Sus scrofa: one gene and its partners. The protein of the gene in region 7 interacts with the protein of the main gene of each other region in a pairwise test. Links are inferred from orthologs where the notes say so. Each region holds a gene or a part of one and is shown on either strand. Other genes may lie near its edges.

The links.
Region 1: the proteins of SDCBP2 (region 7) and EIF1AD interact in a two-hybrid assay, tested with the Homo sapiens proteins (3 studies listed by BioGRID and IntAct). The two-hybrid records come from large-scale screens. The link is inferred for Sus scrofa from reciprocal best matches to the Homo sapiens genes SDCBP2 and EIF1AD.
Region 2: the proteins of SDCBP2 (region 7) and YTHDC1 interact in binary tests that used the Homo sapiens proteins (3 or more experiments, as listed by UniProt). The two-hybrid records come from large-scale screens. The link is inferred for Sus scrofa from reciprocal best matches to the Homo sapiens genes SDCBP2 and YTHDC1.
Region 3: the proteins of SDCBP2 (region 7) and ZCCHC17 interact in binary tests that used the Homo sapiens proteins (3 or more experiments, as listed by UniProt). The two-hybrid records come from large-scale screens. The link is inferred for Sus scrofa from reciprocal best matches to the Homo sapiens genes SDCBP2 and ZCCHC17.
Region 4: the proteins of SDCBP2 (region 7) and LYAR interact in binary tests that used the Homo sapiens proteins (3 or more experiments, as listed by UniProt). The two-hybrid records come from large-scale screens. The link is inferred for Sus scrofa from reciprocal best matches to the Homo sapiens genes SDCBP2 and LYAR.
Region 5: the proteins of SDCBP2 (region 7) and ZRSR2 interact in binary tests that used the Homo sapiens proteins (3 or more experiments, as listed by UniProt). The two-hybrid records come from large-scale screens. The link is inferred for Sus scrofa from reciprocal best matches to the Homo sapiens genes SDCBP2 and ZRSR2.
Region 6: the proteins of SDCBP2 (region 7) and PRR13 interact in binary tests that used the Homo sapiens proteins (3 or more experiments, as listed by UniProt). The two-hybrid records come from large-scale screens. The link is inferred for Sus scrofa from reciprocal best matches to the Homo sapiens genes SDCBP2 and PRR13.

The regions. Positions count from the first base shown.
Region 1 is NC_010444.4:6,337,348-6,340,299, forward strand, and holds the end of EIF1AD (probable RNA-binding protein EIF1AD), read left to right. Parts: intron 1-599; coding exon 600-744; 3' UTR 745-2,778; downstream 2,779-2,952.
Region 2 is NC_010450.4:66,096,186-66,100,227, forward strand, and holds part of YTHDC1 (YTH domain-containing protein 1), read left to right. Parts: intron 1-1,661; coding exon 1,662-1,763; intron 1,764-2,129; coding exon 2,130-2,458; intron 2,459-2,578; coding exon 2,579-3,017; intron 3,018-4,042. UniProt on the Homo sapiens protein: Regulator of alternative splicing that specifically recognizes and binds N6-methyladenosine (m6A)-containing RNAs.
Region 3 is NC_010448.4:87,878,073-87,882,603, reverse strand, and holds the start of ZCCHC17 (nucleolar protein of 40 kDa), read right to left. Parts: upstream 2,878-4,531; 5' UTR 2,743-2,877; intron 1,778-2,742; exon of another isoform or gene 1,677-1,777; intron 1-1,676. Other genes in the region: SNRNP40 (U5 small nuclear ribonucleoprotein 40 kDa protein), read left to right, coding at 3,064-3,207.
Region 4 is NC_010450.4:6,083,935-6,087,976, forward strand, and holds part of LYAR (cell growth-regulating nucleolar protein), read left to right. Parts: intron 1-2,530; 5' UTR 2,531-2,587; coding exon 2,588-2,709; intron 2,710-3,891; coding exon 3,892-4,006; intron 4,007-4,042. UniProt on the Homo sapiens protein: Plays a role in the maintenance of the appropriate processing of 47S/45S pre-rRNA to 32S/30S pre-rRNAs and their subsequent processing to produce 18S and 28S rRNAs. Also acts at the level of transcription regulation.
Region 5 is NC_010461.5:12,357,014-12,361,055, forward strand, and holds part of ZRSR2 (U2 small nuclear ribonucleoprotein auxiliary factor 35 kDa subunit-related protein 2), read left to right. Parts: intron 1-1,039; coding exon 1,040-1,253; intron 1,254-4,042. UniProt on the Homo sapiens protein: Pre-mRNA-binding protein required for splicing of both U2- and U12-type introns. Selectively interacts with the 3'-splice site of U2- and U12-type pre-mRNAs and promotes different steps in U2 and U12 intron splicing.
Region 6 is NC_010447.5:18,659,220-18,664,042, forward strand, and holds the start of PRR13 (proline-rich protein 13), read left to right. Parts: upstream 1-1,594; 5' UTR 1,595-1,815; intron 1,816-1,871; exon of another isoform or gene 1,872-2,116; intron 2,117-2,284; 5' UTR 2,285-2,304; coding exon 2,305-2,323; intron 2,324-2,907; coding exon 2,908-3,336; intron 3,337-4,823. UniProt on the Homo sapiens protein: Negatively regulates TSP1 expression at the level of transcription. This down-regulation was shown to reduce taxane-induced apoptosis.
Region 7 is NC_010459.5:33,965,687-33,970,219, forward strand, and holds the start of SDCBP2 (syntenin-2), read left to right. Parts: upstream 1-1,388; 5' UTR 1,389-2,528; intron 2,529-4,533.

The DNA of each region.
Region 1 (2,952 bases), on a different chromosome or scaffold from region 7:
TAGAGCCTTCCTCCCTTCCTATGCAGGGGCCGTGGCAAGCGCTTTTACATATGTGGTTATGCACATGGCTGGAAAGTCATGTCTTCTTCAAATCCTGGCTTTGTCAGTTCTGAGTAACTTTAAGCAGGTTAATCTCTTAAGCCTGATGTCATTGCCTGTAAAAATGGGAGCTTTGTAAGAATTACAGAGGCTGTTGGTTCTAAAAGTGCTTAGTATACTATCTGGTAAGCAACGTGGGTTCATTGAGTGTTAGTTGGAGTTGATATTATTAAAATTAGTAGCTCTAGGAGTTTCTTGGTGGTACAGGAGGTTAAGGATCCAGCGTTGTCACTCTAACGGCTTATGTTCCATTCCTGGCCCAGGAACGTCCAAATGCTGCAGATGCAGCCAAAGAATATGTGTATGTATGTATATTAGTAGCTCTAGAAACCTTTATTTAGGCTTGGGGGTGGAGAGGTAGTTATTAGCCTGTTTCGCTCTGATTCGCTCCCTGTTTGACTCATCAAGCCACATGGTCCTCCTTTTTGTGGCGCTCCTTGATAGAAGGTCTGGTTTTCCTAGAAGGCATTGGGCTAACTCTGTCCATTTCCCTCACGCAGACAGACTCAGCCAGAACTCCCAGCTGAGCCACGGTTGTCAGAAGACAAGTCCAGCTCTGAAGATGATTCTGACCTTTTTGTTAACACCAACCGCAGACAGTATCATGAGAGTGAGGAGGAGAGCGAAGAGGAGGAGGCAGCCTGAGACCCCGGACCCACTTCTCCTCTGGCTGAGACTCGCCCTTGGATCCTCTGAGCTTGGACATTCCCAGGGTGCTTTGCAGATCTTTCCCCCTGGATGGGGACAAGGCAGGGCCCCTCTCTGAACTGACCTTCTGACATGGGAGAATTAAACCCCTGGTGGGTGGTGACTTAAGCTGGTGTCAGAGTGGCTCTCTGGAGGGAGGAGGGACATGTGGGTAAAAACGGCCCCTTTGGGAGTTCTCTGATGGCCTAGCTGGTTAAGAATCGGACCTCACTTCTGTGGCCCAAATCACGGCTGTTGGGCGACTTTGATCCCTGGCCTGGGAACTTCAGCTTGTTGCGGGCAAAGCCGAAAAAACCCAAACTGCTCTTTGGTGGTAACCTCATGGGCAGGAATGGCTGGAATCTTTCCTAGGTTTCCTCCGCTCACTGGGCTCTTAGTAAGTGCCAGGCCTGCATGTGCTTAAGAACTGGGAGTGTCCCCTTCCCCCATTGCCTGCTTGCAGTTAATGGCAGTGTAGGCATTCAGGATCACAGTGGGACTTGGTGCCCACCTGCCTCCAAGAGACACTCAGGGAGAGTTTCACAGTGCCTCGCAAGCTGCTTTCCCCGGCTTTCTAGTCACATGATGCAGGAGTGCCCACTTCCCTGCTGCTGTGTACGTCTCCTGGTTGGTGGTTTCTTTGGCTACTCCAACCATCACTGCTCAGTCCCCTTGCAAACCACATCATCCCATTTCTCCTTGGAAGGTTTTTCCCTCTGACTGTACATTCTCTCTCCTCTTCGCTGGCATTGACCTTTTAGTCACTGCTCAGACATAGAGGTTTACCTCCTGGCTTGGAGTCTTCTACCCCTGCCTCTGATACTGTTTTCTGCATCCCATGGGTGGGCTGTTCCACACCATGGCCCCCTCGTTCCTTGATCTCCCCGTCACTAGTGCCCTTGTCTTCTATTCTAGGCCTGTTTCCTGTATCCCTGGTCACTCCGGACCCCTGACATTACTAGAAGTTGCAGTGCCATTTGAATCGAAACACCAGTGCCGGCGCCACCTCCTGGCTTTCTTGCTTACCCGCTCAGCTACTTCCTCTGCAGAAATTCTTTTTCGTCCTCCGGCCCTGCAACATTCTCACCATCATTCTCCTGTCTCCCCTCCTTGCGCAGCATCATTGCCCTGTGTCTGCACCCTGGACTCCCCCTCTCCCTCCATTACGCTCATTCGTAAAGCCTGCCCCTGGTCAGCCCAGTCACACACCTCTGTGCCTGAACCCAAGTAACTGTGAGGGAAGACCGCCGACCTGGCTCACTCGTTGGACCTTAAATTCATACTTGCAAACCACAGTGGCTGCTCAGCACTGCCCAGCAGGTCCAGCCTGGGATGTCTCACTTGAAGACTCTCTTGTTTGCCAGTTCCCCCTCCCCTTCTGGTTACTCACCGCAGCTCTTACTTCGTGAAGAAATAGTAGCCCTGGGAGGGAGTTACCGCCTCCCCATTACCAACCCTGCAAATGTGTCTTCCTGCCGTTTTCCTGCCCGGGCTTGCTCCAGTGGGACTTGGGCTTTCCCTCTTGTGCTTTGGAGCCTGTCCCTTCCTGTTTAAGGACGAATGTGAGTTTTAGGTTTTGCCATCCTCTCTACTGCATGTGTCAGCATCAAACACGCTGTAGACGCTCCCATCTGAAAAACAACCATGAAACCTGTCACTGATCCCACGTCCTCTGGCTACCACTTCATTTTCCTGCTTTTACACTTGCTTAGTGTAGTCTTAAATGTATACTCTGTGTGTGTGTGTAGGTGTACACACACATAATAGAAATATATGAATATGCATCTAAATGCAAAAAGCTAACCAGGTGAGTTAAAGATATGCGTGTGTGAGTATATTTTTAACTTGTCTGAAGTTTATGTATTATGGGAGATGGCTGACTTTTTTTCTTAAAGGGATAGCCGCTTGTCCCTGTACCATTTATTGGATGGTTCATTCTCACTGATTTAAAATGTCTTTTTAAAATAAATTCAGTGCCTGCATATTTCTGGATCTCTTTGGAATCTGGTCTGTTGATACATGTGCACATGCCATGTTTTATAGCATGATTGATACCTCATTCCCCCTCACCTTTGCCCCACCATACCTAAGAACTTTAGAGTGAACTTGTCAATTCTCGTCGAGACGTTCTCATGAGATTTCCATTGGCATCGTTTTAAATCTCAT
Region 2 (4,042 bases), on a different chromosome or scaffold from region 7:
CTTTTAACTTAACTTTGGCATTGTTTCAAACAGGATAGCTGTAAGAATAGCACAAAGAATTCTTTTGCTTTTCAACTACATTCCACAAATGTTAACATTTTACTACATTTGTCTTTCCAATTCTCTCTTTCTCCCTCTTTCTATATATTCTCTGTCTCAGTATATGTATGTGGATATATGCAGGTAGACATGTTTTTTTTTCCTAAGCCATTTTGTCATTTGTGTACATGTTGCTTCTTTGCCCCTAAATACTATTAACATATTTCCTAAAAAGTAGGATGCTCTTTTTCTTAACTATAGTACTGCCAGAGTCAGGAAATTAACATTGCTACTCGTAATCTATAGACCTAATTTAGATTTCACTAGTTTTTCCACTTACGTCCCAGATGTTGTACTATATTTAGTTATTTTTATTTTTATTTATTTTTTTTGTCTTTTTGGGGCCACACCCACAGCATATGGAAGTTCCCAGGCTAGGGGTCGAATCAGAGCTGTAGCTGCTGGCCTACACCACAGCCACCCCAGATATGAGCCGCACCTGCAGCCTACACCACAGCTCCATGGCAATGCCGGATCCTTGACTCACCAAGAGAGGTCAGGGATCATACCTGTGTCCTCATGGATGCTAGTCAGGTTGGTTAGCCTGAGCCACAATGGGAACTCCCTGTATTTAGTTATCTCCTTTAATTTGAAGTTATTTCCTTAGTGTTTGTATTTCATAACATTGGCATTTTTTGGATGCCCCTTAATTTGGGTTTGTTTCCTTATGTATAGGTTCAGATTTTGCAGTTTGCATAGGCATATCATGGAATTGCTCTATTCATAGTGTATCACATAGGGGGTCCATGATGTTGATTTGACCCGTTAGTGGAGAGTTAACTTGATTACTTGGTTAAGCTGGAGTCTGCCATATTTCTCCACTATAAAATGGTAACCAATAAGTATTTTTCCCAGAGTTCACAATCTTTGATGAATGTATGTTTATTTAAAAGTTACGCACGTGTCTTTTTAGCTAACTTATTGTGCACATTCTAAAGCAGTTACAAAAATTAGAAATTAAAGGATGAGATAAAAATACAGAAGTTCTCACTTTTTTTTTTTTTTTTGTACCCCAGTGTATCCTTTTATACCCTGTGGGGAATATACTTCTGGTTTATAGATTAGAGCTCTGTATCATATCCTTTACCTTGTATGATTTTATAGGAATTATTCTTGTCTTGATCCTGAAATAAAAGCTCCTTGAAGGTTATGGTCTCATATTTCTGTAGTTTTTTTGTTTTTTTTTTTTGTCTTTTTTTTTTTTTTGTCTTTTGTTGTTGTTGTTGTTGCTATCTCTTGGGCCGCTCCCGCGGCATATGGAGGTTCCCAGGCTAGGGGTGGAATCGGAGCTGTAGCCACCGGCCTACGCCAGAGCCACAGCAACGTGGGATCCGAGCCGCGTCTGCAACCTACACCACAGCTCACGGCAACGCCGGATCGTTAACCCACTGAGCAAGGGCAGGGACCGAACCCGTGACCTCATGGTTCCTAGTCGGATTCGTTAACCACTGCGCCACGACGGGAACTCCCATATTTCTGTAGTTTTGACATAGTAAATACTCAAAAATAAATGCTTGACAATAATGGTTTTTCCCTATTACTTTTAATTTTCTTGCTTTCAGATGGAGAACTTAATGTTCTAGATGATATTTTGACTGAAGTACCGGAACAGGATGATGAACTATATAATCCAGAGAGTGAACAAGATAAAAATGAGAAAAAGGGTATGTAAGATTTATTTTTGTTAAAAATAGCAGTGTAAATAGCAGTTTAATTTCTTAGAGTCTTTGCTTTTGTACTTATTCTTTATGGCGCTTAACACCAAAAGCACAATCATAACAAACGGTACCCAATTCCGTATAAAAGTAATATATTTTTTTTAAAGTTTTGAAATGTCTCAAATAAATGATTTTATTCCAGTGCTTGAAAGCTGTATTTTCTTTATGATTAACTTTGGAGTAAAAATACTTCAGAGGACATTTTAAAGAAATGAGACTTTTTTCCTCCGATAGATTTACCTGTTAAACTTTGTTGAAATAAGTCAAATACTCAAACTCTTTTATATATTTTTTTTAAATTTTATTCTTAAGGATCAAAAAGAAAAAGTGACCGAATGGAGTCTACTGACACAAAGCGACAGAAGCCTTCTGTTCATTCAAGACAGTTGATTTCTAAGCCACTGAGCTCATCAGTTAGCAATAACAAAAGAATGGCTAGTACAAAAGGAAAGTCAGTCACAGAGTATAAAAATGAGGAGTATCAAAGATCTGAAAGAAACAAGCGTATAGAAGCTGATCGGAAGATTCGTCTGTCAAGCAGTGCCTCCAGAGAACCTTATAAGAGTCAACCTGAAAAAACTTGTCTGCGGAAAAGGGATTCTGAAAGGAGGGTCAAATCCCCTACACCAGATGGTTCTGAGGTAGTAAATACTATTACAGATATAAGACAGAAAGCAATTCTTTTTTGAGGCTAGAACTATTTATTCACTCTGACCTTGTCTGTTATATGACTGCTGATTCCCTTTTTCTTTAAACATCAGAGAATTGGGCTTGAAGTGGATAGACGTGCAAGCAGATCCAGCCAGTCTTCTAAGGAAGAAGTGAACTCTGAAGAATATGGCTCTGATCATGAGACTGGCAGCAGTGGTTCTTCTGATGAGCAAGGCAACAACACGGAGAATGAGGAGGAAGGGGTAGAAGATGTGGAGGAAGATGAAGAGGTAGAAGAAGATGCAGAAGAAGATGAAGAGGTGGATGAAGATGGAGAGGAGGAGGAGGAGGAAGAGGAGGAGGAGGAGGAAGAGGAGGAGGAGGAGGAGGAGGAGGAGGAGGAAGAAGAAGAATATGAACAGGATGAGAGAGACCAGAAGGAAGAGGGAAATGATTATGATACTCGAAGTGAGGCTAGCGACTCTGATTCTGAGTCTGTTTCCTTCACGGATGGGTCTGTCAGATCTGGTTCAGGCACAGATGGATCAGGTACTGACTTTTATGTGTAAAGGTTTGTCTTTTTTTTTTTCCGATTGACTTAACTTTTTTTCTTGAACATGCTTAAATTGAATTATAAAATTTTTGAGGCAGTGGGGGAATGTTAATAAGACTGCCCTATGATTTTTTTTTTTTTTTGACATGGTATGCTTTTGAGTATTATAAATGCATTTGAATAAGGTTTACATAGCTTAGTAAAAGTGTTTCCCAGCTACAAATTGTATTATAAATGTATGTTAGTCTAATTATTTCTCTTTAAGGAAATGTATTTGAGGTTTTAATGTTATTCTTAGATTTCCATACTAAACAACAGCTTATTTGAACACTGATGTACTTGAAGTATATTCATGTGGAACCTGTCTTCTAGGCGTTAACAATATTTTCATGTTAAATGCCTCTAGATTTCCATCGTGTGGCAACAAAAATCAAAACAACTTACTTTCAGAGTTTCTTGTGGCACAGTAAATTCAGGATCCAGCATTGAACTGCGGCGCATGGGTTCAATCCCTGGCCTGGGAACGTCCACATGTGGCCAAAACAAACAAAAACAACTTATTTTTATCTTGGGAGCATAGCTTTTCTTTCAGTTCTATACCCGTGGGTTGACTGACTGGATCGGGGTCTCTAGAGGGCTGGGTGTGAAGGTACAAGATGAAAAATAAGAGCATAAAATTCTTGGAGGGGCTGGGTAGGAGCCATCTTGGGTCATTCTTTCAGTACTACATGCCCTGCCACTTTATTTCTATCTGCCCCTGAGACTTTTTGTTTTCTTTTTGTCTTTTTAGGGCTGCACTTGCAGCACATGGAGGTTCCCAGGCTAAGGGTCTAATCAGAGCTGTAGCTGCTGGCCTACACCACAGCAACAGCAACGCCAGGTCGAAGCTGAGTTTGCCACCTACGCAGCTCCTGGCAACACTGGATCCTTAACCCACTGAGCAAGGCCAGGGATCGAACCTGCAACCTCATGGTTCCTCGGATTCATTTCTCCTGCACCATGGCGGGAACTCCTGCCCCTG
Region 3 (4,531 bases), on a different chromosome or scaffold from region 7:
AGTTTTAGCCCTATTGGTACCGGACCAAAAGACCAGTACTTACTCTACTGCCCCACACTGGTCTTTCAGTCAATAATCTCTAAAGTCCCTCCCAAATCATCTAAAAATAATAGCTAATATTTGAGTGCTTCCTATTTGCCATCAACCTAAAAGCTTCACTTGTCTTAACTAATTTAACTCCCTTTCTGACCTCCCTACAAGATAGGCAATTATTATTGCTATTTTACAGATGAGGAAACTAAGACACAAGAGAAGCTAAGTTAATCTTGCTCAAGATTACAAAACTATTACAAACATGACCGATGGAGATGGGATTCAAATCTTATTTATGAGCATTTTTTCTTTCTAGACTGTGAAATTCTTCCCAGCATGCCCACATCACCATATCCTTCAAATCTCCAGTGCTAAGCACAGTACAAAGCACACAGAAATTTATAACCATCTACTGAAATACTGAACTACTTAATTTTACTCTATTTTAAATTGTTATCAATTCAGCACATTTACTGGCATTTACATAAATGTCATTAATATAAATGTTATATATATCTGTACAAGGCACTTTATAAACCTTTCGATCCTTCAAATAGTTCTACAAAGTAGGTATCTTTTTTTTAAAGGAACAAAGTAACTTGTCCAAAACTCATAGCTAGAAAGAGATAAATCTTAGGCCAGTCCAAGAGCCACACCCACTTGTCACTAAACCAGCCTTCTCAACATAGTCCCTGTCCTCAAAGACCAATTACAATGCTGGATGATCAGTGCTAAAACAGTGATTAGGTTCAAAGTATTAAGAAAACTAGGAGCATTAAAAGGTGACAACTGGGTGGGCCTTTAAGGATAAACGGAAGTCCTCTAGCTGAGAATACTGTTCTTTGACCTCAATAGAACCCCAATCTATTGACATTTATTTTCTTCCAATCTAGCAGCCCTCTCCTTTTTCTTCATTTTCCTCCCTATCCAGCTTAGACTCCACAGTCCACCATTCAAACAATAACCTAATTTCCCTTTAATGCTCCCTCTTTATAGCCCACCTAACTGGCAATATCCCTACCCTTATGGAGTACAGCTGCAGATATCAGAACCCATTCTAGCTAGGGTTAAGCAGAAATGGATTTACCGGCAGGTATTATGTGACTTACAAAATTACTGAAAGAGCTATGGTAAGAACTGGTAGAACTTCCGAGGAACAATTCCTAACCCACCTAACAGAGGGTTGTCATGGCTCAGCGTTAATGAACCCAACTAGTATCCATGAGGACGTAGGTTCCATCCCTGACCTCAGTCAGTTAGTGGGTTAAGGATCTGGTCTTGCCGTGAGCTGTGGTGTAGATCGCAGACTTGGCTTGGATCCAACGTTGCTGTGGCATAGGCCAGCAGCTATAGCTCTGATTTGACCCCTAGCCTGGAAACCTCCATATGCCTTGGGTGAGGCCCTAAAAAAGAGACCAAAAAAAAAAGTTATGGCCATCATTGCAGAAAGTCACAACACCAAAAAGCTGGTGACTAAGAAACCCACTGCCTCTACTATGGTATTTGCCAGCAAAGGAGGATGCCTCTCACCCTCCTCCTTTCCCTTCCAATTCAATTCTCATCTTAGGTGCAAAGGAGTCTAGAAAATATCTACCTCTCAGTTCCACCAACACTCTATAGTCTTCATTGCTAACAACTCTCACCTCAGCGGTCTATTTGCATTTATCTCCCCTCCAATCTATTCAAACTACTGAGCCAGAAGGACCAAGCTGCCTCCTCCATCACACCACCTTCTCCACTGCAAAATACAAAATAAAACCTCAGTGATTTCCCATCAGTCTTAAAGAAAAGCTACAAATTCCTACACAGTCTGGCTTCCACTTGCCTCCAGCTTCATCTTGTACCACACTCCCCTTTATTCTCTTTGTCCTGGCAACACTGGCCTCTTTGTACCTTTTAGTCATTTTCCTCTCATTTGCCATTGGGCCTCTGCACATGCTGTTCTATATGGAATATTCTGCCCTCCTCTCTTCCCCCAACTAATTAGAATTCTTCCTTCAGGCATAGGTTCAGGCATCTTTTTGTTAGACAAGTCTTCCGGCTTATTTCTGGCACTCAAAACACCAGGTACCTTTCCCTGGCAGCACTTACTTTGCATTCCCTATAAAGATCATTGTTGAGCATCTGTTTTTCCCATCGGACTCAAAGCCCTGAGGTCAGGGACCATGTTTGGTTCACAATGTCTCCTCAAAGCTTTGCACCATAAATATCAGTTGAACGATTAAGGAGAAAACCTACTTCACAAGTATGAGTCTGAATTTCTCAGCCAAGACTGTGCTCTGGAGACCAAGAGTCGGACATTTCCTTCATCTCTCTCTCTCTCTCCCTCTCTCTCTCTCAGGGGCACAGAGCAGGCGCTGGTAAAAGGCTGCAGTATCACGGCAGAAAGAAGTCGGCCTCCAAAGTCTGAGACGACCCTGGTGGAGGCTGGGAAACTGACCTTTTCTCCCAAGGAGCACCTGGCACAGGGCTCGACACAGAAGGCGCTTGTTAAAGAAAGCAGCCGTCGAGGGCCCCAGGCAGGCGCAGAGACCCCACTGCTCTGCTCCAACCTAGAAAGGGAACCCAGGCCACCATACACCAAGAGCTAGGAACTCAGGGGCCCCCTCTGCCCTCTGCGATCAACCCTGGGCTGAGAGAGGCCAGCTTCAGACCACACAACGGAGGCGCCGCCTCCAGATTCCGCAGCCACCCACCCCCAACACTTACTCGGAGTTAGCGTCAGGTCTCCCCGCCGCAGCATTGCGCGAAACGCCAGAACCCAGTCAGCGCGCTTCCACCCACAAGACCCAGCGCGCCGAGGCGGGACTCCAGCTCGTTCCACCAATCCTGGAATCGTACTCTAGTGACATCAGAATGAGTTGCCCAATAACTGGAGACTCCCCAGGGGGCGGTGCAGAGGGGAGTATTGGAAGCCGATTGGTTTCTCCAAGCCGGAAGTTCTAAGGGAAAGACTAAGTCGGAGCCAATCGTGCGCTCCCTGAGGGTGTCGGCGCGGTCAGTGGCGGCCTGAGGAGAGCGGTTGCCGCCATGATAGAACAGCAGAAGCGCAAGGGCCCAGAGTTGCCTCTGGTCCCAGTCAAGCGGCAGCGGCATGAATTGCTTTTGGGAGCGGCGGGGTCGGGCCCGGGAGCCGGGCAGCAGCAGGCGGCGCCGGGAGCTTTGCTGCAAGCGGTGAGTAAACGAGCAGATGGCCTTCGGCCCTCAGCTCATCTTCCTGTCTCCTCAGTGCTCCACCGTGAGATCCCGTACCGGCCCTTTCCCTGCACTGCGGGGGCGGAACGGGACTCACACCAGGGAGTTAGAGCAGAAAAACCTGTTAAAGCGGTCAACACCCTGCGATGCTACGTTTCCCCGTTTGACGTTTCAGCGTCTCGATGGCCCTGTGAGGGGGCGTTAGAATTAGTGAGGGATCTTAAAACTGGGCCCCGGGCTTTCGCATCCTAAATCTTCCAGGGATCCAGCATAGAATAAACGTTCAGGAAAGTTGAAAGAGTGGATGGATGAATGAAGGAAGAAAGAAAGGAAGGAAATGAACGATACTAGCTCGCTTTGGGACTTGGGGCAACTTGCTTTGGGGAAAACTCTTTCTCTGCACTAGTATTAACAACTGAAGAATAGGTAACACTTATTGAGCCATGTACTAAGTGTTTTGTATATGAAAACTCCATTAATCTTGGTCACTGCCTAAGAGGTAGGAATTGTTAATTGTCCCATTTTGTAGATGGGGAAACAAACTTCTCTAATAAGTGATAGAAACCGATTTTAAAATCAGAATCCAGGCTTTTAACTAGAGTTCTTATAAGATAGAGGTAGTGATGGATGACATCTCTCCTTCTGCTCTATTAGGCTTAGCTGAAGAATATATGTCCCCTCCTGAAACTCCTCAATCAGGCTGTCAGCAAATCTTTGCTGGCACCATCCTTAAAATAAACCCAGATTTGTTACCACTTCTAAATATCTCCATCACTACCTCCTGATCTAAGCTGTTATTCTCTCACCTAGTATTCCTGCTGTAGGATCCTGATGGCATTCCTGTTTCTTTTCTCAGATGCTCATTCTATTCTCAGTCCAGCAGCCGGAGGAATCCTTCTAAACATCAAATCATGTTAACCTCTGCTGAAAACATGCCATGGCTTTTCGCTTCACTCAGAGTAAAACTAAAATCCTAACAACCTTTTGCCCTCTTTCCCTTGACCTCTCTGATCTACCAATTTTCCATTGCTCACCTTACTCCAGTCACATTGGCTTCTATGCTCCTACCACACACAAAGCCTTTGCATTTTCTTTTCCCACTACTGGAGTGTTCTTTTTCCAAATGTCCACCTGGTTTACACACTCAGCTCCTCCAAGTCTCTGCTCAAATATCGCTTTTTCCATGAAGGTTTTCCTGACCAACCTGTTTTAAATTGCATACCTGGGTACTCACTAACACATTGCTGTTTGGTTTTCTCCATGGTACGTACCACCACCATCTATACCTTATACTTGTTTCTGC
Region 4 (4,042 bases), on a different chromosome or scaffold from region 7:
CCTGTCTACTGTGCCCTTAGGGTGGGTTTGAGCTGGCTCTAGTTTATAGCCCCTCCCTCCCACCACAGACTCAAGTATTTCCCCCCCTGGGCTGGATAAGCTCCTGACAGACCTGATCTTCTTAGCGGGCGGGCGGGAGGCCACCCTGCCCCTCTTCGAGATCAAGTATAAAAACGCAGCCCTGGCTCCGAGAATCCAGAGGAAGGCACTGTGAGACTGGGCTCTGACTCTCTGCGAGCCACCCATTCTACCTTAAAAAAATAAACCAACAGATTTCTAAATGTGAACATCTGCCACAAAAGACCAAGTGAGAGGGTTGGAGGGAGAGGTGTTCTTCCCACGGATGTGACCGCGTGTGGCTAATCCCCAGAGGAAAACGTGTTTCTCACATATTCCGGGCATCTTTTCGGTCAACATCTCTGGCTTCTTTCAGTTGATAGACGTAGTTTCCAGCTTGTCCCCCCGACCTTCCATCGCAGACTGCAGCTCCCTTCGGCATCTCAACGCTTGCCTTCCTCCTGTCCCCTCTCCCCTCCATCAAGACACAGAATAGACCCAGAAATGAGGGTTGGAAAGCTCTAGGCCATAGCTTCCATTTGACAGGTATTTTTTTCATTGTGGAACCTCGTTATGGAAGTACATTTTAAGTTTTGCAGCAGACAATTTGGCTCATCTTTGCAGCTGCTTCTGCCTTGTGTGTACAGTGACAGTCCATTTCTTGGTGACTGATGGTTTACGCTCCTGCTTAGGCCACAGTGCCCCTAGCGGCTGGTTCCTTCACCGTTGCGGTGTGGGCTCGTCTTCTGTCCTTTGTTCTCCTTGAGGGGGCGCTGGCTGCTCCTGACGCCTGCTGGTAACCGCCCCCATCAGTTCCCGTCCTGGCTCAGTTGTGGCCCAGCGGGTTAAGAATCCGTCTAGTATCCATGGGGATGTAGGTTTGATCCCTGGCCTGGCTCAGTGGGTTAAGGATCCAGCGTTGCTGTGAGCTGTGGTGTAGGTCGTAGTAGACTTGGCTTGCATCTGGCGTGGCTGTGGCCTAGGCCGGTGACTGCAGCCTGTGGTCTTGTCCGTGTGGCTCCCAGAACAGCCAGGTTTGCTTTCCTCTGGATTCCCTGCTAGGCTGTAGCTGATCACGTGTCCTCTCCTGCTAACCTACCCATGGTGAGCAGAGGAAGGGGTCCTGGGGTCAGGGGCCTGAGTTTTGTATGTAAAACAAAGTTTTTCCAGGTAAACTGCCCTCCAGCAGGGCCCCTGGGTGCAAGAGGCCTCCAGGAGAGACCCCCAGGGCGGGTCTTCTTTCACCCTGCAGCTGCAGCCAAGGAGGTACATTTCCATTCAAGGCGGAGTGCGTGGAAACAGCCCTGATCCTTGCTGCACTGTGCCCTCTGCGGCAGAGCCTCAGAGCCGGGGAGGGGGGTGGGGGAGATGGTGAATTCACGCAGGAGAATTCTCCACCAACTCATTCGTGCTGAAGCATCCACAGATGAAGTCCTAGCCTGAGACAGGTTATACTGTATCAGTTTACTTGATCCTGACCTTCGTGGTGGGGAAGCAAGTGCTGGGCCGGACGGTTGTTCTCCATACTTACAATGCAAAACGACAGCCGTCTTTCAGAACAAAGTGGTCGGGAGATGGCGTAACCCTGGAAATGTCCCCTGGCTTCTGGCATGCTTTCAGATGAAGTCATGTTTTGCTGAGCACACCTGTCTCCGTGAAACTTCTGAATGGGAGTTATGTGTATGTGAGGGCCCCCTTAGCCACGGGGCAGCGCTCGGGAGCCCTGGGTTTGGGGCGCCCTCCAGTGACCCAGCGCCCGGCCTAGGGACACCTGGATGTGAGCCAGTAAGGGGCCATAGCCATGCCCGTCCAGTCAAACCGAGGGGAGCGTCCTGCTCTAACACCTGTGGAGACATTGTTAGGCCTCTGTGGATGCTTTTTGTGCAGTTATTTTTAGGCCTCTTCTCCACTTTTAAACCTCCCCGTTTGCTGTGTCCTTATTGTATTTGGGGGCCTGAAATAGTCCGCAGCACATACCTCGGGGCATTAGAGAGAAAGAGGACACGTGTGTGCCCTTCAAGTTACTGGAAAAGGCAGGAGATTTCACTTGACGCGCCCCCAATGCTTCATCTCCAGCGCCAGCCCACAAAGTGTAAGTCCTGGTTCTGCCCCTGTGCCACCTTGGGTCAGTTACTTAACCTCTCTGAGTCCCAGGACCTCGTGTAAGGTGTGAGCCTCGGTAGTCCCTCCCTCAGGGGTTGCTGCGAGGGTTAAATTGGTTGGTTAGTGCTTGTTAAGCTCTTAGACTAGGGCCCGGCATGAATTACTTCACACACACAAGTGTTAGCCATGTTGTTGATAATTTTACTTGCTGTGGTGGTGGAGTTTTATGTGGATTGCTGTTCAACTTTGGTTCTGTTCTGGTGTTATTTTCCGATGAAAAGTTAGCTGTGTGAATCATATATTTTGGAATAGAAGTTTCAGATTGCAATGATAATTACCTTTTTTCCTTTTTAATTTTTTTTTTCCCTAGAACAAGACTTAAAACCTGTCTTGGATAAGAAATATTTAATCAATCATTTAGCTAAAAATGGTATTTTTTACATGCAATGCATGCGGTGAATCAGTGAAGAAAATACAAGTGGAAAAGCATGTGGCTCTTTGCAGAAACTGTGAATGTCTTTCCTGCATCGACTGCGGTCAAGACTTCTGGTGAGTTCCAGAGGGTTCGTGTAGCTCCATGGTCAAGGTCCAGGCCAGTTTGGAAGCCCTGGACCCACAAAGCATTAAAAAAAAGTGGAGGCAAACTTGAGGAAAGAAATGAAGGGAAAAAATTACAAGTGCCTTACAAGACCATTTGCTTTTAAGGGTGATTTACAGAGATGACTCGGGTTCGTTTGGAGATCTGGTCGGCCGGTGGCACTTGCTGTCATTTCCCTGCGGCCCTCCAGATCCAGGGAGGGGACCACGTGGAGTAAGGTTTCAGGGTTTCAGGGCATGGTGTGGCGATCGCAGCCGAGAGATGGACGTGCAGACCAGAAAATGAGTTTATTCAATCATTAAATCATGAGAGAGGAGACCAGGTCCTCCCGAGAAAATTGGAGGTCGTGTTGGCCGGGAGTGCGTGGGGGGCTCTGGCTGAGGGGTCTTGGGGAGGGGCCAGGTCTTGCTCTTGTTTGGGGGGGCCATTTGCTGATGGCTCGCCTCCCTCTCGTGCGGGTTCCTTCCAGCTTCAGAGGATTCGGGGATGGCAGCCTCTGGGGCACGTGGGGGATGTTTGCTAAGAGTCCCTTTAAGTTCATTGTAAAGCAGTGATTTTTTTTTTTTTAAGTTTGGAAACTACTAAGGTCTTTGTTCATCCCTGATCGTAGGCGGAGGGTGGGGAAGACAAGTGAACACAGGGTTGGTTTTCGTCGGGGGCTTTGGCCTCAGCCTTGTCCCAGCATTTCCCAGAGGATGGCACAGAGCTTCAGAAAGAGCGTGTGAGACAGAACCCAAGTTTCCTTTTGTCCCAAGACTCCAAGATCCAGGACTTTTTTGTGACCTGATATCACCGCCCTTTTAACTTACTCTGCAACTGGTATTGATTGCCTATCATATTGCCAGGAAATCCTACGGATTTTGTCATTTAAGATAACGCCACCCTATTGCCTATCAGTGATTTTAACACCTTTGTATATGAAAATGGGTGGCAAGTTTGGTGACGGGTTTGGAACAGTGGGGAGGAAGGAAACTGGTATGACCAAGAGGTTATCTGCCTGGTACGTGACAGAGATGGGGGGCCGGGCCGCGCACAGATGGGAAGGTGAGCTGCACGGCAGAAGGGCAGCATGCTTGCGCTGGACAGAGCCTCTGGTTTGAGGATCACTAATGGTGGGACTTTGACACTTTAAGGGGTGACGACTACAAAAACCATGTGAAATGCATAAGTGAAGATCAGAAGTATGGCGGCAAAGGGTATGAAGGCAAAACCCACAAAGGCGACGCTAAGCAGCAGGCGTGGCTTCAGGTAAGGTCTTTCTAATGCCTCAAGTAGCTTCATCTG
Region 5 (4,042 bases), on a different chromosome or scaffold from region 7:
AACTATAATTAAAACATTTTTTTTTAAAAAAGAGAAAATTCCAGAGTTCCCGTCAGTGGCGCAGCGGTTAACGAATCCGACTAGGAACCATGAGGTTGTGGGTTCGGTCCCTGCCCTTGCTCAGTGGGTCAAGGTTCCGGCGTTGCCATGAGCTGTGGTGTAGGTCGCAGATGCGGCTCGGATCCGGCGTTGCTGTGGCTCTGGCGTAGGCCGGTGGCTACAGCTCCGATTGGACCCCTAGCCTGGGAACCTCCATATGCTGCGGGAGCGGCCCAAGAAATGGCAAAAAGACAAAAAAAAAGAAAAGAAAAGAAAAGAAAATTCCTCTTCACAATAGTTAACCTTCATTAAAACCCAACTCGACATTTAGCACATCATATAACCAACAGGCAGTAGACTATGGCTTAGCTCTGGAATCTTCTCTCCCCAGCCATGTGACGTGGGTACCTATGCTTCTCTAAGCTTCACTTCCCTTCTTTCAAAGTGAATTAAATACTAGTCTTAGCTGTCCTGGCAAGTTGGCAGGATCAGAGGAAAAAATATAAAAATGCCATGAACACTCTGGAATGCTCTCCATTTAGCTGAGACTCTCACAATACCCTGTTCTCTAAGTGCTGGGTTAGTTGGCAGTTGTATGGAACCAGGGTAGCACTGTTGTCACCTTCTCCTGAGCGCCCCCACCCCCTCCCCCGCCATGATGTCTGTGGGCCTGGCATCGGGGTATGTCACGCCCATGAGCTTCCTCTTTCCCTGTGCTGCCACATGTGAAAGGCCTCCTGAACCTCAGTAAAAGACAGCCGAATGGCATCTGAGCTTGGAAGTAATTCTCAGCTTTACATTTTAATGAGATCCAATAAATTGGTCAGCCTGAGAACAGTGTTGTTGAGTGTTGAAATTTAAAGTCTGAATGTGGCTTGTCATCTGGCACTTCTGTCAAAACAGCTGTATTTCTTGAGCCTTTTCATCTCAGAGTGTAAAGCCAGCTTTTTACGTGCGATTTTCCGCCACTGGACCACTCAAGTTTTTCCTTCATACGCAGGTGTTCACGTAAGCACAATTTCCCGGCATCAAGTCCCACCCTTCTTATTAAAAGCATGTTTACGACATTTGGAATGGAGCAGTGCAGAAGGGACGACTACGACCCCGACGCAAGCCTGGAGTACAGCGAGGAGGAAACCTACCAGCAGTTCCTGGACTTCTACGACGACGTGCTCCCGGAGTTCAAGAACGTGGGCAAAGTGGTCCAGTTCAAGGTGGGCATGCGCAGTGCGCGTGGCGGAGCGGACGGGTTCACTTCTCCCTGAAGCGCGGGGGTGGGAGGGGCGTTGAGAAAGTTGGGGCACAGGCCCTGGGCCTGGGTGGGGCGGAGCGTGATGGTGCGGCGCCCCCCACTGTTGGAAGGAAGGTTTACTCCCGTTTCTCTCCCTCTCCACCCTCCTCGTTGCCCAGAAGGTGGAGGTAGCACATGAAATCATGACCGGGTCCCAGCATGCCGGTTCCTGGGTTCTCAGGGGAAAGGATCTTTTCAGCCATTCCGTACCTTTATGGTCCAACTCTTTTTTTCCAGCTGCCACATTTTGTGCATAAGGTCCTCTGCCGATAGCTGTCCCAGCGTTCACTCAGAGGCTGGCGCCATGAGGAACGCGCTGCCTCCCTCCCCGCCACGGTCGGTCTCCCCTGAGCCCGGCCTGCGCAGTGGAACATTCCCCAACTTAACTCCACACACCGAGATTGTTGATTTGTCCTTGCTGTATTGTGTTGACCGTGCCTGCTTGCAACTTCCACCCAAGGTGCATGTCCTTCCTTCTGGGCTACCCAAGAACGTAAATCGTGATGCCCCCCCCCCACCCTTTTTTGGTCTTTTTAGGACCGCACCTGCGGCATATGGAGGTTCCCAGGCTAGGGGTCTAATCGGAGCTGTAGCCACCGGCCGACGCCACGGCCACAGCAACGCCAGATCTGAGCCGCATCTGCAACCTACACCACAGCTCGGGCCAACGCGGGATCCTTAACCCACTGAGTGAGGCCAGGGATTGAACCCGCAACCTCACGGTTCCTAGTCAGGTTTGTTTTCGCTGTGACACGACGGGATCTCCGCCTCCCCCTGCCCCCCCCCCTTTAATGTTGTCTTCTCTTAATAGTTTGGGATGCAGCATTGGGGGTAAAAGGCATTCAGATGACACAGAGTTATTTTTTAACATTCTTTAAAGCAAGAGTCAAGTCAGCTGTAATGACTTGCTCCCGGGCTTGAATCCTGACACAGGGAAGCCTTCTGCTGTCTGCAATTTGATCCGATCTGAACCTGAATGATTTCATTATGTTGGGATGGGGGAAATGGCCCATAATTTGGGAAAGATAGGAATAAAGCTCTGAAGTTTTTTTTTGTTTGTTTGTTTGTTTGTTTTTTTGCTGTTAGTTGGACATGACAGTGGGAATTGGAACAGCCAAGGAACAGAGCAACTGCTAACCAGCAGCACTCTTGAGATTCAAGGCCATCCTTTCTACTGATTTCAAGATTTTAAAAAATTCTTTGGCAGTTGCTCTTTTCCCTTTACCTTTTGTTTCTGTTGCGTGCACTTTCCTGTCTTCATACTGTTTCTCGCTGCAGCCAATAAACACTCAAGCGGAAGTGCCCAGCCACACGCATCTGGGTGCCCATGAGAAGCACTGCTGAGGAGTTGGTGTGCTGGCTAGTCCTGGGCTCTTGAACACGGCACTGTACCTCTTCGTACCTTGTCCTCATCCCGAAAGTACTCCATCAGTGTTCTTGTGGGGTCCCTACATCATACTGCTTCTGGGAAATTAGAGGTGGAGCTGCTTTCAAAACCTCAGACTGCTCAGTGGAAATCACCCCATTGTTGCGAGTGCAACCGGCCGCACTTGCTAACCACGGGGTGTTTTGCTTCCTTTTGTTGAGGATTCTGTCAGCCAAGTTCAGCTAATCACATTGGCAGTTATAAATGGAAAGCTGTTTAATAAATTTTCAGTAGAAAAATTTCCAAAATATCAAATTCACCATAGAAAATTAATAACAGGTCTTAGGAACTGTTGGCTTAAATGACCTCTAAAGTCCTTGGTGTGGCTGATTGGCCTCCTGAGGCCTTTCAGTCTTCCCTCTAAGAATGGTGTTATAAACTGTCAGTCGGTATGGCTCCTGCCTCTCGTGGGATGCTCTAATAAAAATACTCTGGAACAAAATTGTAAAAGTATAGATTTATTTTGAAAATGAAAGCTAAGTATTAGTATGAAAATTTGAGGACCTTTTTATACCATGACATAAAACCAAATCAGGTTTGTCATTGTCGAAGGCAAATGATCAGATATTCAACCTCACTAGTAATGGGACAGTGCATATTCGAATGAGATGTTATTCATACCCATCAGTTAAAAAAGTATGCATTCTAATACCAAGAGTGGGCGAGTTGTGTAAATTAATAAAACCACGTTAGAGAGCAGTTTGTCGATAATCTAGTAAGGTTAAAGGTACGTGTAGCCTATAAATCGGCATCCTACTTCCGGTCATGCAGGCTAGACGAAGTCCTACCATTCGGGCATGCTGACTGCAGTACTGTTTATTGATGAAAAATTGGAAGCACCTTGGATATTCCTCCTTAGCGGAGTGGATAAATAAATCTGATAATCTGATATATCCAGTATACAGCAGTTTAAAATGAGTCATTAAGTTTACATGATTACATCTTAAAAAAAAGGATGTGGGATAAATATTATTATCTAACAATAAATTTATAATAATTTTATTATATAAAATTTTAAAATGTACAAAGCCATACTGTACATTATTTATCAATGTGTACATGCTTCTTTGCATATGTATACATAAATAAGTATATACCCATATATGCATAATAGACATGTAATTTTTTGTATGTCTGTATATTATATATATTTTTTTATGGCACACATATGATATATGTGTATATGTATATCTGTGTGTATGTATGGCTATGCATATTTGTGTCTATGTAGATAGGAGTGTGTGTGTGGGTATTTAGAAGGGGGGGGATACGCCCAACGTCAGAAT
Region 6 (4,823 bases), on a different chromosome or scaffold from region 7:
GGGTGTGGCCAAAAATTAAAACAAACAAATATAACCATGTAATTTTTTTTTTTATTTTTAGGGCCGAACCTGCAGCATACGGAAGTTCCTGGGCTAGGGGTGGAACTGCAGCTGCTGGCCTATACCACAGCCACAGCAATGCAGGATATAAGCCCCATCTTCAACCTACACCATAGCTCATGTCAACACCAGATCCTTAACCCACTGCATGGGGCCAGGGAAACCCACATTCTCATGGGTAGTAGTCCAGTTCTTTTTTTTTTTTTTTTTTTTTTTTTTTGTCTTTTTGCCATTTCCTGGGCCGCTCCCACGGCATATGGAGGGTCCCAGGCTAGGGGTTGAATGGGAGCTGTAGCCACCAGCCTATGCCAGAGCCACAGCAACGTGGGATCCGAGCTGTATCTGAGACCTACACCACAGCTCATGGCAATGCTGGATCCTTAACCCACTGAGCAAAGCCGGGGATCGAACCCACAACCTCATGGTTTCTAGTCAGATTCGTTAACCACGGAGCCACGACGGGAACTCCAGTAGTCCAGTTCTTAACCCAGTGAACCGTGCAGGAACTCCTAACCATGTAATTTCGAATTTAAATAAATTTCTATGCTGAAATAAAAAAAGAAAACACGGTCACACCTATGATTATGCACAAACTTGTACACGAATGTTCATAGCAGCAATATTCATAATAGGCAAAACATAAAAACAATTCAAATGTCCATCAGTTAATGAATGGATAAACTAAATGTGGAATATCCAAATAGTGGCATATTATTTAGTACTTCCTTCAGAAAAAAGAATGGAGTTCCCTTGTGGCACAGGAGGTTAAGGATCCCAGGTTGTCACTGCAGCAGCTTGGGTCACTGCTATGGCAAGTGTTGACTCCTGGCTTGGGAACTTCCATATGTGGTGAATGAGGCCAAAAAAAAAAAAAAAAAAAAAGAAGAAGAGGCCATTGCAGCATTCCCGTTGAGATATGATGGTAGGCTGGAAGCAGAGAAGATTGAAGAGAAGTAGAGAAATTTCAGATTTATTCGTGAAACAAACGGACCCTTCCCGATGCTGGAGCGGGAAGAGGGGAAGGTGAAGGAGAGAGCCATCAAGGATCACCTCCGGCGTTTCTGCTTTGTGCAATTCGACAGATGGCGGAGCTATGTAGTTGATACAGGGAATCCTAGGAGAGATTAGAAATCTCTGTATTTCTCCCAAGAATGTTTCTTTACTTTCTATGGACGCTGACAGAGGCGGCAATATTGAGTTTTAGGGTGAATATCGGCAGCTCCCCGCCCTTCCTTAAGCTGTGTATATATATCTGTACAACATTTATCATGGTATATTTACTTTATAAGGTGTGGCACCCACTGGACTAAGAGCTCAGAGGTCAAGGGTTGAATTTCCTCTAGGTACTCACGAACTTGCTCTGAAGCTGGCCCCGCCCACCCATAGCCCCGCCCCCAGGCATTTCCGGCCCGCTCGCCCTCTGCACCGGCCTCACCCCAGAGCGCCCAGCTCCGCCCCCACTGCAACCATTGCCTTTTAGCCTAGTGGGGACTAGAGTGATTGACGAGCATGTTCTCCAATCCTAAAGCCCAATGTTGTTATATTACCAATTCGGAGGCAGCAGAGGCGGATGCCAAAGCCTAACGTGAGAGGGTGATCGGGAAGTGAGAGTGGAGGCTGCGGAGGACGCCTCCGCCCAGGCGGTGGTATAAAGCTGACGGGACGTCAGTATTCTGTTCCTTTCTTTCTCCATTCCTGGGTGAGACGCCCCTTCGTTGCTGGGGAGCCGGGGTCTCCACTTGCCTTTTTTAAAGGGTAAGAGGGTGTGTCTAACTATATAAGCGTTTGAGGATCTTTCCTGAGCTGCCTTACCTCCTTTCGCCTCCAGGCAGGTCCTTCTGTTAGCCTGGGGTGCGGGGTCCTGTCTCCCGTCACCCATCCTTGGGGATGGTGAAGTTGTTTCAGATCCCTCCGCAGCCTATGGTGGTTAAAGTCTTCCGGGCTCGGTCAAGGAAAGGGAGAGGAGTGATGGGGATAGCGAGATTCGCGCACTCAGCCCCTCTCCCGAGGAGTTAGAATCCGCAGCCAGAGCGAGTGGAAGGTGGAGGGAAACTAGGTATTGGGGGCGAAGGAGCGGGTGGAAGGAGACATTTCTTATGTAGCGAACCTGTTAGTTCCCTGGGAGCCTACAGTGGGGCAGGAGGCGTTGAAGTTGGGCTTGGTGTCTAAATCACCCACCCACTTCTGGGCCGTCAGCTTTTAACCTTCATTTCTTTCTCCTCAGGCTGGTGAAAACCCCTGAACATGTGGAATCCCAATGCCGGTAAGTGTTTGGGGAGAATCTCTTCTCCTGCCCCAGTCCCTTTTCGGATGGGCCACAACAGGAAGTTTGTGTCCGTTTCTCCTCCACCTCTGCCCTAACCTACAAAAAAGCAAAGTCCATAGCTGCCCAGTGTCTTCCCCCAGAGTTCACTGTCTCCAGGGAACGTTACCTTTTCTTTCTCTTGTATAGGTTTGTCTCCCCTCCCCTCCATGCTCCTCTTTCTTCAGCTTTACATTTTTTCCCCCCTAGGGCCACACCTGCGGCATATGGAGGTTCCCAGGCTAGCGGTCCAATCGGAGCTGTAGCTGCAACTGCGCCACAGCCACAGCAACGCGGGATCCGAGCCGCGTCTGCGACCTACACCACAGTTCACTGCAGTTCCTTAACCCACTGAGCGAGGCCAGGGATCGAACCCACAACCTCATGGTTCCTAGTGGGATTCGTTAACCACTGAGCCACTACAGGAACTCCTCCATTTTCCTTTAAGTATTGAGTGAAAAATGGAATCCCCTTCTTTTTGTTGTTTGTTGTCAGAAGCTCTGGGCAGTTCTAATCTTAAATTTATTCTTTGCTTTTTCCACCAGGGCAGCCAGGGCCAAATCCTTACCCGCCTAACGTTGGATACCCTGGAGGTTGCCATCCTACCCATCCACCATCTGCCAACCCTCCCTTTCCTCCAGGCCCCCTTCCCACTCCTCCAGGAGTGCCCCAGGGGAATCCAGCTTTTCCCCCTGGCGGGCCTTGTTATCCTGTGCCACAGCCAGGGCATCCAGGATGCCAGCCCTCAGGTCCCTACCCACCACCTGCCCCTTGCATGCCACCTGTGAATCCATTGGCTCCTGGCATGGTAGGACCAGGCATGGTGATGGACAAGAAGATGAAGAAGAAAATGAAGAAAGCTCATAAAAAGAAGCACAAACACCACAAGCATGGCAAGGTCAGTGCCCTCTGGAGCCTGGCTAGGAAGAGGTGCCCCCTCAGAAGGACTAGGGTGGCTGGAGGTGGGAAGAGAGGTAGGTGGCAGGGACAAGGAATGGGGATTCACAGTCTGAGGACTTGGGACAGGGCATTGTGTTACTCTGGCAGATGGTGCTTCCTTTTTGTAAAGGATTCCCACTGCGAAGAATTTAATAATCTTGAAAATAATTATTAGGCTAATTGGGCCTTCTGTCTGCCAGGGGCTATGTTGAGCCTTAGAATGGCTATCAGAATCAGGTGCTTTTCTTTTTTGCCTTTCTTTTCCCAGAGCTTTGGCCTCCCCACCCCCATGCTTGTTCTGGCAAGTGGGACACACCCACTGAGGTGGTCAAATGTCAAGACCTTTGGCCAAGCAAAGTCTTATGTAATGATAGATAATAATCTGGTCCTAGTTCCTGGAATTTCTTTCTCTCCTTCACTGTTCTCAGCTTGTTGTATTAATTACGTAGGTCTTCTTGTCCAGCAGGGAAACTGAGGACAAGAGCAGTCAGTGACTCAGGCTCCAATAAAACCCTCAATTTCGTGCTCAGTCTCAGGCTAAGTATCTTCATGCCAGAGGAGTGTAAATTAGCAAGTAGCTCTCAGGACCAAGTAGTAAAAGTAGCTCTCAGAACCAACTCTGGAAGAATTGAACCAACCTTGAGATATTTAAAAAAAATTTTTAGGGCCACACCTGAGGCATATGGAAGTTCCCAGGCTAGGGGTTGAATCAGGCACCACAGCCACAGCCATGCTAGGTGCAAGTGGTGTCTGCAGCCTACAGCGCAGCTCACAGCAACGCTGGATCCCTAACCCACTGAGTGAGGCCAGGGATTGAGCCCGAATCCTCATGGATTCTAGTTGGGTTTGTTACTGCTGAGTCACAACAGGAACTCCCTTTTTTCCCCCTTCTTCTTCTTTTTTTTTTTTTTTAATTTTTAGGGCAACCTTGATCTTAAGGAGGCCTTAATTTACATTTTTCTGCTTAGCAAATTTTTTTTTTTTTTTTTTTTTTTTTTGTCTTTTTGTCTTTTTTGTTGTTGTTGCTACTTCTTGGGCCGCTTCCGCGGCATTTGGAGGTTCCCAGGCTAGGGGTTGAATCGGAGCTGTAGCCACTGGCCTACGCCAGAGCCACAACAACGCGGGATCTGAGCCAAGTCTGCAACTTACACCATAGCTCACGGCAACGCCGGATCATTAACCCACTGAGCAAGGGCAGGGACCGAACCCTCAACCTCATGGTTCCTAGTCGGATTCGTTAACCACTGCGCCACTACAGGAACTCCTGCTTAGCAAATTTTTTTGCCTTATGTATGGCTTTGGGTGCTAGTCCTGGTTCTGGATCTTTGGTAGAAGTCTGAGGAGAAGGAAAGGTGAGATTGAATGGAGAGATTAAAAAATGTTTTGGATGGAGTTCCCATCGTGGCACAGTGGTTAACGAATCCGACTAGGAACCATTACGTTGCGGGTTCCATCCCTGGCCTCGCTCAGTAGGTTGAGGATCCTGCTTTGCCATGAGCTGTGGTGTAGGTCACATGCAGCT
Region 7 (4,533 bases):
GAACTTAGGGTCTAACTGGGAGCCTAAGGACATGGGAACAATACAAGATGATTCCTATCAAAGAGCCACAGGACGGTCTTATCTGGCCACGTGGGTAGGGTGGGGGATCAGGAGGCTTCCTGGAAGAGGCGCTCAGTGGATCTGGCTAGGCCGAGTGGGGGCAGGGGGAGGGCATCCCAGAAGCAGCAGCACAGGCAAAGGTATGGTGTGAGGTGGGAGTGGAGCGGATGTGGCTTGGCTGGGGTAGACGTGTTGGGGGAACAAAATCGAAATGGTCATAAGGGGGCTGGACCATGGAGTGCTCACTGTCAGGCCCCCGAACTTAGTCCTGACCCTGACCCTCCCTCCCTGACCCTTCAGCAGGATGTCACTGAAGACTCTGAGCAAGGGCGTGCCAAGAAAAAGGACTTCTGGGTGGCTGGCTGGGGAGAAGTCAGAGGTGGAGGCAGCTGTAGCACCAGGGAATGGAATGAGCCCCTGCATTTCGGTGGGGGTGAGAGGACGTGGGTTCTAGTCCCAAGTCTATGCGGACGTGCTGGGTGACCACAAGCAAGTTCCTCACCCTTCTGGTTCCTCCATCTTCTCCAAAAGCCCCTTGAGACCTCGACTGGGTGAACTGAGGTGTGTGGAGGGTGGGGTGTCACTTGGTTCAGTCTCTATTTTCTACTTTGCCCTTGAGAACCCCACCTAAGGAGGGTCCACACCCATGGTTCCCCGGCGCTTCGGGCCCAGATGGCTCAGCCTCGGGTGTGTCCTTGCCTCAGCTTTAGGTGCCTTTTTCTCACAGACGGAAAACAGGACCTTGGAGCCATGTGCAGCTGTGTGACTTCAGAGAAGGGACCTTGCCTCTTGCCTACTTGCGGGATGGCGGGAGCCACCAAGCCTGTGACTGTACAGCACCGCGCTCTGCAGGCAGGGAGGGCTCCTTGGCTGGTAACTGCCTTTCCTGCTCTTGTTCCCCCTCCGACTCCCTCCCATGTGTGGCTCTCGGCTGGAAGCCTCTGAGTCCGGCAGGGCCTCCTCTCTGGGGCTGAACATGCGCCCAAGGCCGGTGCGTCTCTGCCCAGGCTCGTCACGGGGACTGTGACATGGGCCACCCGGCCTGCTGAGCAGCCCCAACACTCACCCCGCCCTGGGCGGCTGCCCTGCGTCATTCCTCAGGGGACTGCCCAGCACCAGGGCCAGTCCCTCCCCAGGCACCTCTGTACAACCCAACCCACAGGGACTGCAACTACATTCCTCCCCCTTTTCTGTTTGATTGATTTTGGGGGATAGTTAAATACATTAAATTTTTTCAAAATTTAAAAGGCACCCCAAAGTATGTTATGAAAAAAAGCCCCTCCCACCACAGCATTCAGCCCCTTACTTCTTCCCGGAGACAACCCATCTAAATTCCTCCTAAAAACAATTAATCTTTTTTTTTTCTTTTTTCTTTTTGTCTTTTTGCCTTTTTCTCGGGCCGCACCTGAGGCATAGGGAGGTTCCCAGGCTAGGGATCGAATCAGAGCTGTAGCTGCCCGCCTACACCACAGCCACAGCAACTCGGGATCCAAGCTGCGTTTGCGACCCACACCACAGCTCATGGCAACGCTGGATCCTTAACCCACTGAGCAAGGCCAGGGATCGAACCTGAAACCTCATGGTTCCTAGTCGGATTTGTTAACCACTGAGCCACGACGGGAACTCCTAAAAACAATTAACCTTAATTTGGCGGCCCCTCCTTACAAAAATCATGAACGTTCAAAGTAAAGATTAACAAAACCAAACCCCACCACCCTGAAACAGACACAAAAGTACAAACTAACAACCCCCACCCCACCCCACCATCTGGATTTCCAGCCTTTTCAGTTTTGTCCTCCCAGACAGTTTGCAGTATCTATTCACTTTTGGAAAAATGAAAACAAAAGACAAGCTGATTATCACAATATTGACTTTTCCATATCTTGCCGGAACACTTCCTCCTGGTTCCTTCCTTATCAACAACGCTGATAGCTTTATGACCTTCCACAGAGGCTGCCTTATTTAACCAGACCCTGGCAATGGACATTTGGGGATTTCTAGATTTCCCTGTTATAAGAAACACAGTGATGGGCCCCCGAGACCTCACTGGCTACTTGTTTTATTTTCTTGTGACAAATTCCTAGAAAAGGAAATGGTAGGTCACAAGGTACGGCCACTTTTCAAGACCCATCAATCTGTCCTGATGTTCAGCAGGACTACGTGTCTGAGCCAAGTTCGGTTACCTCGAGCCAGGAAGTCTTGGTTCACACCCCTCTCAAGAGGAGCTGTGTGAGCTTCCATCCCCACCTCCACATCCAGACTAAGGCCACAGCCCTCCTCTGGACCTGGTGACCTAAGGCAGGTTGCCCCAGCCACCACGCCGCACCTGGGCCCATCCCAGTCCTGGATGAGTCAGCTGACCGGGGAGCAGGAACCCAGCTGGAACAAGGGCCACCGCCTTCCAGGGAGAGGAACAGACTCCGTTGGCAGTGGTTGGAGGAGGACAAGCAGCAGCACCTGGGCTGCAGGTAAGAGCCGGGTGCGGGGCCCCTAGAGCTCCGGAAGGGATCGGCGTGACCTGCTCTCTCCTGGCTTCTTCCCTCCTGGTCCCAACCCTTTGGGGACTTTCAGGCCTTTTCCTCTCAGGGTGCTTCTCTCTGGCAGTGAAACATGAACTGGGGTTTCCTCTTCTGACCCCAGCCCCGGGCCAGGTGTGACGGTTGGGTGATCTTCACCCAGACATGGCTAGGACTCTCCAGGCTCCTTCAGTCTGCCCGGGACTGCGCTCGCGGCTGGGACCCACACTTTGCTCCTTGAAATGGGCCCTTGGCAGGGCAAAGAGCACTTTCCACAAGGAGCCGAGTGCAGGCCTCAGTTTCTGTTACTTCTCTGCCTGAAGCTGTTTCCATCCACAAGCTCCCTGCCACGGCCAGGAAAACCTGCTGGGGAACTGGGCCGGCGGCCTGACCCGAGAGCTGGTTTCCTCTGTGGAGACTCCCACGCAGTCGGGGGAACTGAATGAGGTAATGGATATAAGGGCCCCGTACGTGCCCTCCACACAGTGAGCCTCAGAAAATGGTGCTTAAGATGGGGCTGCTGTGTGCCGGGCAGGCCCTGCGCTGGCCCAGACTCCCACCAGCTCTCCCCGCATCACTTCTCAGCTGGGCTCCCTGCCCACTGGGCCCCTCTAATCCATCCTCCAAATGAAAGTTAGACGTCACTCTGCTGCTCAACATTCTCCAGTGCCTCCCATTTCGCTGGAGTAAATGCCAAGCCCTCAGCATGACCCACAGGCCCTGCTGGATCTAGCCCCTCTCACCACCCCTGCAGTCGCCTGTCCTATGCTTCCCCTCTCAACAACCGACTTTGGTCTCCCTGCTCAGATATTTCCTGAACACAACAGGCACTCCCACCTCAGGGCCACTGCCGTGGCTGTGCCCTCAGCCTCAACGCTTCTCCCTCCCCATTGAAACTTTCACTCAAAAGGCATCTTCCACCCCCATCTCCCCCACCCAGCAGGGAGGCTCTTCGGGACCTCCGGGCTCTGTCTACCTCCCCCACCCGCCCCCGCCCTGCTTCATCTTTCTCCCCATCACGTCCTACCACCTAACACTGCACAGGCACTTACTTATTCAGCTAGGACGTGACACTCAAGGGCAGATTTTTCTTTTGTTCCCTGCCTAATTACTGGTACCCAGAACAGTACTGGGACTTAGGCACTCAGTAAATGTACTGCATGAACAACAGCTAATGACTACTGCGTACCCTTTATGTGCCAGTGCTTCCCATATATGTCTTATCTCTTTTAAGAAGCTTTTCATCTCTACGATAACACTGCGATGCAAGTATTGTTAAGCATATTACAGATAAACGACATGCCAAAAGGACATGTCCATGCTTGCTCTGCTAAATCAGAGGCAGCAGTCTGAACCCATCCTGCTTGCCTCTGAGGTCCTTGCTCCCACTCTGCCCCTCCTGGACAAGGATTCGGGAGTGTATCTGCATCCACTGAAGAAGTCCACAGCTTTCCTCCAGCAGGCAGTACAGCCTGAGAGGAGGGGAGTACATGCTGGTGGCCTAGCAACAGCCTCTTCCTTTCCGACTCACCATTTCTCTGGGCTAATTTGGCCTTCCAGGAGCTATTCCTCTGACACTCTAACCCACGCTTCCCTCCCGCACAGTCTTTTGAAGGATGGATGAGCTGTCCACAGGAACAAGTGGGCGTCCTGTAGTTTCAGCTCTTTGGAACAAAGCGTTCCAAAGGAGTGTTCTCACTCCAAAGTCCAAAGATGGGGGTGGGCGACCCCTTTTCGGCCCTGCTGGTTTCTGAGGACCTGATTGCTTTGTTGGGGACTTGTTATTGTTCAGAATATCAAAAAGTACAGAAGTTCAGGGATGGAAATCTTGGAAAGGGCAGTGGGAGGGGAACATTTCTCTGGGTAAGATAGATTGGACAGGTTCTTTTCCTTGCAGAGGAGCCAATTAATTGCAGGAAGCCATCAGCACTGAACTGAGCACACTTCCACTGTCACA